Linked DNA regions of Danio rerio. The protein of the gene in region 1 interacts with the protein of each later gene in a pairwise test. Links are inferred from orthologs where the notes say so. Each region holds a gene or a part of one and is shown on either strand. Other genes may lie near its edges.

Region 1 (4,767 bases):
TAAGGGGGAGATGTTTAAACACATTCTTAGTTATTTAGCAAGATACTAATATTCAGCTTCCATTGCAATATAGGAGAAGGCTTAACTAGGTTCATTAGGAAAAGTAAACACAGTTATAAGAAATGCTGACATTTTTTTTTTTACTTTTTTAAACATCATGGGATAAATTTGAAAAACAATTAAAATTTCAAAGACTGAATAATTTTGCCTTTAAATGTATGTCATTCATATATAATACTTACCTTTGAATAAGCTCTATTGTGGCAATACTTGACTTCTGAAATAGGTTTAAAACATAAAAGAAACAAAAAACACAAACGCGAGCATGCACACACACACACACACACACCCACACAGAAAGAGCTGCAGTGAAATGTGTTACTCTCTCATCAATACTGAACATGTATAAAAAACTGAACAGCAAAAAAAAAAATAATAATAATAATTAATTTTTTTAAAGTTTTTTTTTATTTTTTAAGTTTCAAATAATTATAAAAAAAATAAGCTTATCAAAAGAACACACACATACTTTAGATATGGATGGAAACATGTTTGTCAAAGCCGCAGCCGAATCTCCCATCTGTCAGTGATCGTCATCTTCGTGCCATGATCAGTCCCCTAATCCTCATCGCTTCGCTAGTGTCTGAAGGAAAGGCGCGTTCACATTTTACCGGATCTGGACCTACATATTTGGTGATGTACCGTATTGATGTCGACGCATTCAAGCAAAAGATCCGAACCCAACACGATTCATTTATTCAACTTTGGGCTGACTATTTTGTTAAAGAATCAATAGTTTTAAACCTGGTGCACTTTCAGATTTAAACCTCAGCTGGGTGTTTCATTAGTGCTGTGCTCCACACTGCATAAAAGATCATTCAGTTTCATTTGGAGTTTCTGTGCTAGCCTGCTGATCCTGAGGGCGTTAGCACTTTCCCTTTTGTTTTTAGCTCGTTTTACACTGGAACAACTAAATTAATGTAATATTACAACATCAATGATGTAAAAGAAATCTCATGAAATTAAAAATGGTTATTAATACTTTGTTTTTAAATAGAAATATGCCCCTTGTTAAAGTAAATAAGCCCCAATCTCTCGGTACAGGGGGTAAATTTTGCATTTCAAAAGAAATAACTTTCTGGCCCTGGCCACGACCTACCGTATATCATTGGTTTTTCTCCACACCCCCACCCACTGCCATAATCTGTCGTCCCAGCAACAAAATCCCGCCCCTGAAGAATCCATACCATTAAAACAGGAACTCAGCTCAAGCATGTGCAGCCCAGAGTAAAAATAAAACAATAAAAATAGTGGAAGTCATAGTAAAACTGCCCGACTTTGTCTTTCTCTTTTTGGAAAAGAACTTTTTTTTGTTTCAAGTTTAACCAACTTCCTAAAAACATGTATTTTCTGCAGAAACTGGAGGAGGAGATGTTGTCAGACAGGGCTGTGATTGGCTGGAATTAATGAGAGCGAGACGTCATCATGAGTGAGCGCTTCAGACCCCGCCCCTTATTGTGAACTGTCTGCGCTCTCCGTTTATTTGTCCAATATGTGTGTGTGTATGAGTGTGTCTGTGTGAGAGACTGAGAAGAACGTGCAACATACTTTTAACAGACATTAAAATTACAAACAGATTTAGATGCTAACCGTCAAGCCAACATGGACTTTTGAATGGGATTTATAAACTGCTTGAACTCAGAAAGATGGAGGTCGGTATTATTATTATTATTATTATTCATTTTAAAATCCTCTCATCTTCTTTCTGATGTGTGTTCAGACTTTCAGAATGAGTAGAAATGTTCAGAGAAAGCTTCAAGCGTGCTGTCAGGGTTTCAAACAAGATCCGGGTTTATTTTTTTCTCGCCGGTAAGCAACTGCTGGGTTTTCACCGTTCAGATGCGCTGTCAGCCGGTAACCCTTGCCCTCAGTCTCGCTCACAGCCCTAAATTTGCTGTGAAATGTGATGCCGCGAAGCCTGAGAGTGAAAGGAAGAGAGAATATATGGCACTTTATGACTGTCGTTAACACGAGCTGGGCTTTTGAAAGGAGAGGTTACAGCTTTAAGCGAGGAATGAAATCTCTGTTGTTGTAGGTGGATTTTTGGTAGGTTAACAACACTTTTGCTGTTGAATGAATGAAAAAAATCCTGGCTCTTTTTGGTGTATTTTGTGGTGTTGGTAGTGGTTTGTGTGTGTCGAAGTAAAGAACTTAGTGATAGTTCACCTTAAAATAAAAAATTTACTCACTATTTAGCTGACATCTTATTTAATTGAGCTATTTATTGAAAGAAACAAAAGTCCAGGATATATATATATATATATATATATATATATATATATATATATATATATATATATATATATATATATATATATATATATTACTTTCTTAATATTTTGTGGTGTGTGTATGAGGAGTGAAGAACTTAGTGATAGTTCACCTATAAATAAACATTTCTCACTATTTATTCTCCCTCAAATGGTTCCAAACCTGCAAATTATGTTGAACTAAAGCAGGGTGTGAATTACAGGGGGGTTTGGCGGGGATTGAGTACATCAAAACAAGTTATATGAGGGGAGGGGGGATTATTAATATTTTTAATAATTAAATGTATAATCACATACATTTGATCTCTCTATAATGGTGTATACCATTGTAAATGCATTATCGCACCAGTCAATGCTAGGAGAAATATCATTCAGACACATCATTTCTATAGTTTGACTTACAGTGGCCTTTAAAATAGTCACTAAATATCCCTCAAAACACTGAAAATGAAGTAAATTAGATGTAATTTATTAATTTGATTCACTGAAGCATGTGTTCCCCCCACCCCTACCCCAATCGTCAATGTATAATTCACACACTGCACTAAAGAATATCTCATGAAAAAAAGCTAAAAACCTGTCACTATTGACTTCCATAGTATGAAAAGATAATGGTTACAGGTTTTCAGCTTTCTTGAAGTATGTTTTTTTTGTGTGTGTGTGTTCAACAGAAGTAAGAAATTCAAACATGAACAAGTGAAGGGAGAGTATTTCCAGTTTTTGGTGACCTGTCTCTTTAATATTGCTGATTTGTGATTTTCATTTGTGACTTTGACCACGGCTGTGGTTTGTGATTTCACGCATGTCTTGCTCAAAGCCAGAATCAGTAAGAAGATCACAACAGGTGGCTAAATATTTTGCCCAGTATATGACATGCTGAGAGTATCAAGTGCAATTTTGCACAGTAAATAAAAAATCTGTTTATTAGCACTGTATTATTTTCAACAAAGATTTTTTTTTCGTGTGTATTTATACATTTACTTGCACTTTTGAAATGATCAGGCCATGATATCTGTTTCTAAAACTTTGAAGCATGAAGAAGAAACTTTGAAGAACAGATTTATAGGTTTATGAACCGCCTGTCCATTCTTTATTTTATGGATTTCTTAAGTGTAAATCTAAGATTTAGGGAAGCTATGTGAATTTATTTTATGAAATATGTTTTTTCTCTTGCTCTCCAAAGCTGCATTTTCTTTCAAAGTGCATTGAAACATTAATAGTGTCAATTATTTACTATTACTATTTAGTAAACTATTACTTAATGGAAAAAATGATGACTTATTATTATCTTATAATATTATCAAATAATATCTTATTTGAAACTTTAATGAAAAATTATCAGACCTTTATAAAAAAATTGACTCAAACCCAAACATGACTACATGAATAAAAGAAGTCACTCACTCACTCACTCACTCACTTTCCTTTAGCTTATTCCCTGCTTTATCAAGGGTCGCTACCGAATGAATCGCTAATTTCTCTGACATACATCTTTATCGACAGATGTCCTTCCATTTGCAACCTAGCCCTGAGAGTACAGTAATTCTAAGTATACTAAACCTTCAGTGCTGGAAAACACCTACACATTCTCTTATTCACACAATACTGCCAGTTTGGTTTATCCAATTCTACCAATCCAAACACTCCAAGGTTACCGATCCAAATGAAGTTACATTGCATGTGTTTGGCCTGTGGGGGAGACAGAAGGAAACCCACACATACACTGGAACACATGCAAACTCCACACAGAAAGGCAGCCTTCTTGTTGTTAGGGAACTTTGCTGACCACTTAGCCACCATGCCGCCTAAAATGAGAAGTATAGTCATATAGAAAAATGACACATAAATAGCTGTATACATGAGCATATACGTAGATATGTAAAACATAATTGTTACTATTTCTTACATTTTGAACGATTCAATGCAGCTTTTTCCGCATTAAATAATTAATTTCTTACAAAATCAAAAAGAAGAAGTCTTACTAGATCTAAAGCTATTAATGTTGCTTCTGTATTATATTTCATATGTCTTACTTCCAGGTTTTTCCCTCACTTGACCTTTTGGCCATTTCTGCGATCTTCCTTATACTGTTTATTTTAATGGTTTGTGATGTAGCGTGACAGATATCAGTTGTGAAATCACACCCACAGACCGACTTGATTCCACTCACATGATTCCAACAAGGGAATAAGGCTCATGTCATTCATTCGAGCTTGATCAAATGGAAAGTTACTTTAACAAATGGCCCTAAAAAAGTGGTTCCCCTCAACCAAAACTGAAACATAAGTTATTTAACTTATGAACACCCAACAATAAATTAGTTTAAAAGTTTCATCCAACATTTAGGTTAGTTCATGTCTGACACAAATTTACTTGAAACAACCTAGTGTTTGTTTGATTAGACCTTTTACCATGATTTAAACTGAAAAAATGCTGT
Region 2 (4,701 bases), on another chromosome or scaffold:
CCTCAGTTGTACAATGTGTACTGTATTTTTGATAAAAATAAATGCAGACCTGCTCAGCAGGAGGAGCTTATTTTAAATCATTTTTAAAAATCCTACTGACCCCAAACTTTTGACCAGTAGTGTACATACAATCAAAAAAATTGCATAACAGTTTCAATATCCACTCTGCCAAAAAAAAAAAAAAAAGATTCAGAAAGGTCAACTTTATATCTCTTGAGAAACTGGTTGGTTGGATATATTTTCGGTATAATTTTAAAGTAGATTTCACTGACTTTATAGTGACACAATATTTGTTGTTTTAAGATAGATCAAATTCCAATTGACATTCTCAAATTGGTTATTCCAAAAGTACTTATGTCTAAAAGTTGCAGGATAATAATTCAAACTTTTAAGAAATGCATAATTACATTTTCAATCTTTGATATCAATACCATCTAATAAAATCTCTTTTAACTGTTAGATTATTTGGTTCACTGAAAAATGTGCTCTTCTGCATGACGTCAGGTATACATTTCCATTGGATATCCTGTCATTGTCACTGCATGATGATCTGGAAAGCATCTGGAACACAAGATACATTGCAGAAAAAAGTTAGCTATTATCGGCGGTCTAGCTTTAAGTTTTTAAGAGACAATCACGTTAGCATCTTGGAAATTCTTGTTAAAAGCGGAAAACAGCCGTTTCAGTCTGCGGAGGATGTCATGATAAACTGTTTATGCAAGTACAGTCAGTATGTAAGATTAGAGGAGGAGACATTGTGATATCGTTTTGAGAGGTGTGGAGGGTGTGATAACTTGACATTAGCCTATTGAGTCACCGCGTGTCGTGAGTTGACATCAGTGTGTGTGTGCGGGATGCGTTACAGCCTCACTTCGATCCTGTCCTGCTGGAATCTTCAGCAAACACGGAAGAAGCGGCACAACGCGGCGGTAAGTGACAAATAATGGCCTGGATAACACAATTGTTGTAGATATCAATGGCAATCCAGATCCACTGAGTCCAGTCCTGTGCGGTCTGTGCAGCGGTGATGTGATGTGAGGTGGGCTTAAAGCGCTCTATAGCGAGGCTCTATTTCTACCGGATCAGCAGATACTCGCTCGCCCGCTCTATAGGTATGCGGTATCAAGTGTGTTAGGGTTATTTTTGTACTTCTGTCAGTTCGGCAGGTTTTCGCGCTGAAAGAAGTGAACATGACCTAGCAGAATTGGTAATGAATCATTTAGAGCAGGGCATAGATAGTTTCTGGAAAGGAGTGGAGCACACGAGCATCTCAGCGGTAAGCAAAATGTTGTATTCCTGCGTGTGGAGTTGAAATGCATGCACAATGTGAAGTAGCATAGTTGAGTGTAGGGTTTCTGCTTACGTCAGATCAGTTATGTTTTATAAGGAAAGTTAAAGTTTAAACTCGCTCGATTGTGATGTATGAACATTTTCATGGTGTCCGTCAGTGATAATGTTGTGTGGATTTGCTCTTATGGCAAAATGAGCGCAGGGTGGTGCGCGCAAACTGCAGTGACATTGAGCTGCTGCCATGTGAGATGTAGCCTGCGCACTAGACTTGTTTCAATCGCAAAAGTATCATCTACTTTTCACAAAGTTGAATAATAATTACGTTTTTCCATTATGCCCGGATGGTACTTTTTTTTGGAGGTTGTGGGAAAAATGTAAAAGCCAGCACGTTCTGTAAGAGCTTTGAACAGAGGTAATGACAAAACACAACATTGCCTCACAACACAGTTGCCTTTCACATTCAATGACTTCAGATTTCAATCCAAACTCTTTTTTTTATTCATTTGATCCAAGTTTAATTTCGAACTAGAAGGTAAGGTGAACTCTGCATGAATGTTTGAATGTATAAGGAAGTTTAGACATGCTTGAATTTTAATAAGCTGTTGGTAAAAGTAACCCAAAACTGTCCACAATGTTTGTATATTTCTTTTGAAGTAGGCAAATGTTATTTTTTTATTTTTAGAAAATGTAACTTTATTTCAATCTAAAGTGGTATAATATCCTTTACCCTTACATCATTAGGGAAAAATTCAAAAAGCAAGGCATTGATCTCATGTGCCTACATTGTAAACATTTATATGATCAATTAGTCCTGGAAGCAAACATTTTAAGTTGATTAATCTAAGTTAACCATGATCTAACTTAATTTAACAATTTATGCAAGCAGTTTTAAGTCAGTTTAACGTAATATAAGTTCAAAAGACTCATAAGGTTAACCCTTTTGATGCACTACATGGGTCTAAAGTGACCCATCTAAGTGTATTTTTTCTATATCTATTTTATAGCTTGTGCATCAAAGGGTTAATTTGTTTCAGCTCAAAAACTTAAGGCAACTGTTTTTCTTTTACAGTGTAGTAAAGTTGCACAATGGCTAGGATATTACTGAATGCTATTGTTGTTTGAGGATCCCATAGGGGTGCAGTTTTCTATAAAATTACTCATACTTTACAAAAATGTTCATGAATTAACAAAACAATTTGAGTATTCTGCTCAATTGTAAAACATGTTTATGGTGATAAACAGACAGACGGTTATATTATATGTTGTTTCTACACACAATCAATGTCACAAACTGTTTTCCTTCATTGACTTTCATTCAAACAGAACGGCTTCCGCTGCTTTCAGCGTTTTTAAGCTAGTCTTCAAGGCCCCTCAGGGGGAGGTGCTCTGCTGACCCATCTCTCACTTAGTCTGGGCACGTCAGTTACTTTCAACACAGTATCATTGCAATTTTCAACTGTTTTATGTTTTGCTGTGTTTTGTGGCTAATTTGTTTATTCAAATGATCTACTAAAACTCCACTGATGGTTATGTTTATTGAGGGTGTTAACGGTGCATGCTTGCTCTCATTTACCACTATTGGTTTAATGATTGTTTTGATCGGCTGGAACCAGTTTATAATTAAAATGTCAGGAAGATCTTTTGATTTTGTTGAGTAGGCTCCAAAGAAAGCTTCCAATAGGTAGTTTTTTATAAGTAAGGTTAAGTTTCTTACCATTGTTGTCATCATGTTGAACAATGTGCATTATTGAGATCTGGGTCGTTTTTCACCTCACAACATTTGTGTTTTGATGGTTGATCGTCATGTCTAACAGTAACTCTCTCTGTGCTAAACAAACCAAAAGTGTTGTGTTTTATTTCAGTGTCTGACAAATAAAGCAGTTTGTTGGGCTTGCCTGAACACAGCGCCTCATTTACACTTTCTAGGAACATTGTTCACTTCTTTTCCGAAACTAATAAACAAGCTCAGGCCTTGAGAGGAGCAGCACAGTTTATTTTCCGGTTTTTAAGCATGATTTTAATTGGCTTAAGTGACGGTACATATTCTCCATAATCAGAATTCCACAGAATTGTTTCACATTTACGATTAGACTGTTATAAACACAGAGATATCTGAATACCATAAGAGAAAAACCACTGGCACTTCCTGACACTCCTCTGCGAGTCTGAACAGGACTTGCCTGATTCCTTCTCTGGAAAAATTGTTATTCAGTTGTTATTTGATTAGAGCCTTCTGACATCCAAACATTTTTTTATGCAAGTCTTGCTAATGCTGACCCACTTTAGTTTCAAACAGCATTTACCCTTCAACTTTACAGTATTATGAAGGTAATGCTACTATGCGTAGTCAAAATGATTTGTGGTTACATCCAATTGACCTCATTACATTAGTTGCTTGCGTGATTTAAGTGCTTGTCGGTCTGGATTCTTTTTAGATGGAAAAAAAGATAAAAGCTAATACTTGTAATGAAACGACTTGCAGGTTGTATGCAATGTAATCTAATGAATCACTTCTTCTGTTGGTTCAGTCAGGGCTAACCTGATGTGGTAATTGGTCTCTGTTTATCTGCAGTTCAATATTATCTAGCTCAGTTTAGTGAGTCAGCTCAATGGCATGTGTAAGGTATGTTCATGTGCAAATGCTATGCACTTTCATCATTCACAATCGTCATTCAGGCAGTTTCCTTTGGTGTCGATGATTCGCACATTTGTAAAAAGACTTTGAAAAATAATACTTGAAACTAGGGCTGCACAATATATCGTTTTAGTTTCGATATCGCAATGTGCATATTCGCAATAGTCTCATTGCAAAGGTATGCAATGTCCAATCTGAATTACAGTTGACCAAAAGCCACAGAATTGTATTTATATGGAATTTATATGATTTCTGCAAAAAACATGTCTTGCTTACAATTTTTGTCTTGTTTCTAATCCAAATATCTACATGTCATAGTGAAAGCAAGTTTATTTAACTTTCCTAATTTCCTTAAAACAAGCAAATAAACTCTTAATTTTCAACTATTTCATCTGACAGTGAAAACTAAACAATTTTTTTACTTGGTCTAAGAATGTTTTTGATATTCAGACTAGACAATTGTGAGTAATAAGTTTCTGTAACTGAATACTGTTAGGTTCTCCAGAAAACTGTGAAAAAGAGCTCTTCAAACCATCTTCTGAAACTATTCATATCGGAATATTTATGGCAGAAAAATAAAATATTGCAATATCAGATTTTTACAATATCATGCAGCGCTTCTTGAAACCAAATATAAATAATAAATCGAAATACTGTCTCATAGCAAATTTACCTTTTAAACCAATAAGTGCAAAGAAAAGTATGTATTATTAAATTTTAGATGAGATAATTGTTATTGGATTTCCATGCAAAAATGAAAATTATTATCCCCTGGC

The links. The genes of interacting proteins can lie anywhere in the genome.
Region 2: the proteins of cass4 (region 1) and cdc42ep2 interact in binary tests that used the Homo sapiens proteins (3 or more experiments, as listed by UniProt). The link is inferred for Danio rerio from reciprocal best matches to the Homo sapiens genes CASS4 and CDC42EP2.

What each region holds. Positions count from the first base shown.
Region 1 is NC_133186.1:29,872,576-29,877,342, reverse strand, and holds the start of cass4 (cas scaffolding protein family member 4), read left to right. Parts: upstream 1-1,548; 5' UTR 1,549-1,706; coding exon 1,707-1,712; intron 1,713-4,767. UniProt on the Homo sapiens protein: Docking protein that plays a role in tyrosine kinase-based signaling related to cell adhesion and cell spreading. Regulates PTK2/FAK1 activity, focal adhesion integrity, and cell spreading.
Region 2 is NC_133180.1:38,620,917-38,625,617, forward strand, and holds the start of cdc42ep2 (cdc42 effector protein 2), read left to right. Parts: upstream 1-1,074; 5' UTR 1,075-1,276; intron 1,277-4,701. UniProt on the Homo sapiens protein: Probably involved in the organization of the actin cytoskeleton. May act downstream of CDC42 to induce actin filament assembly leading to cell shape changes. Induces pseudopodia formation in fibroblasts in a CDC42-dependent manner.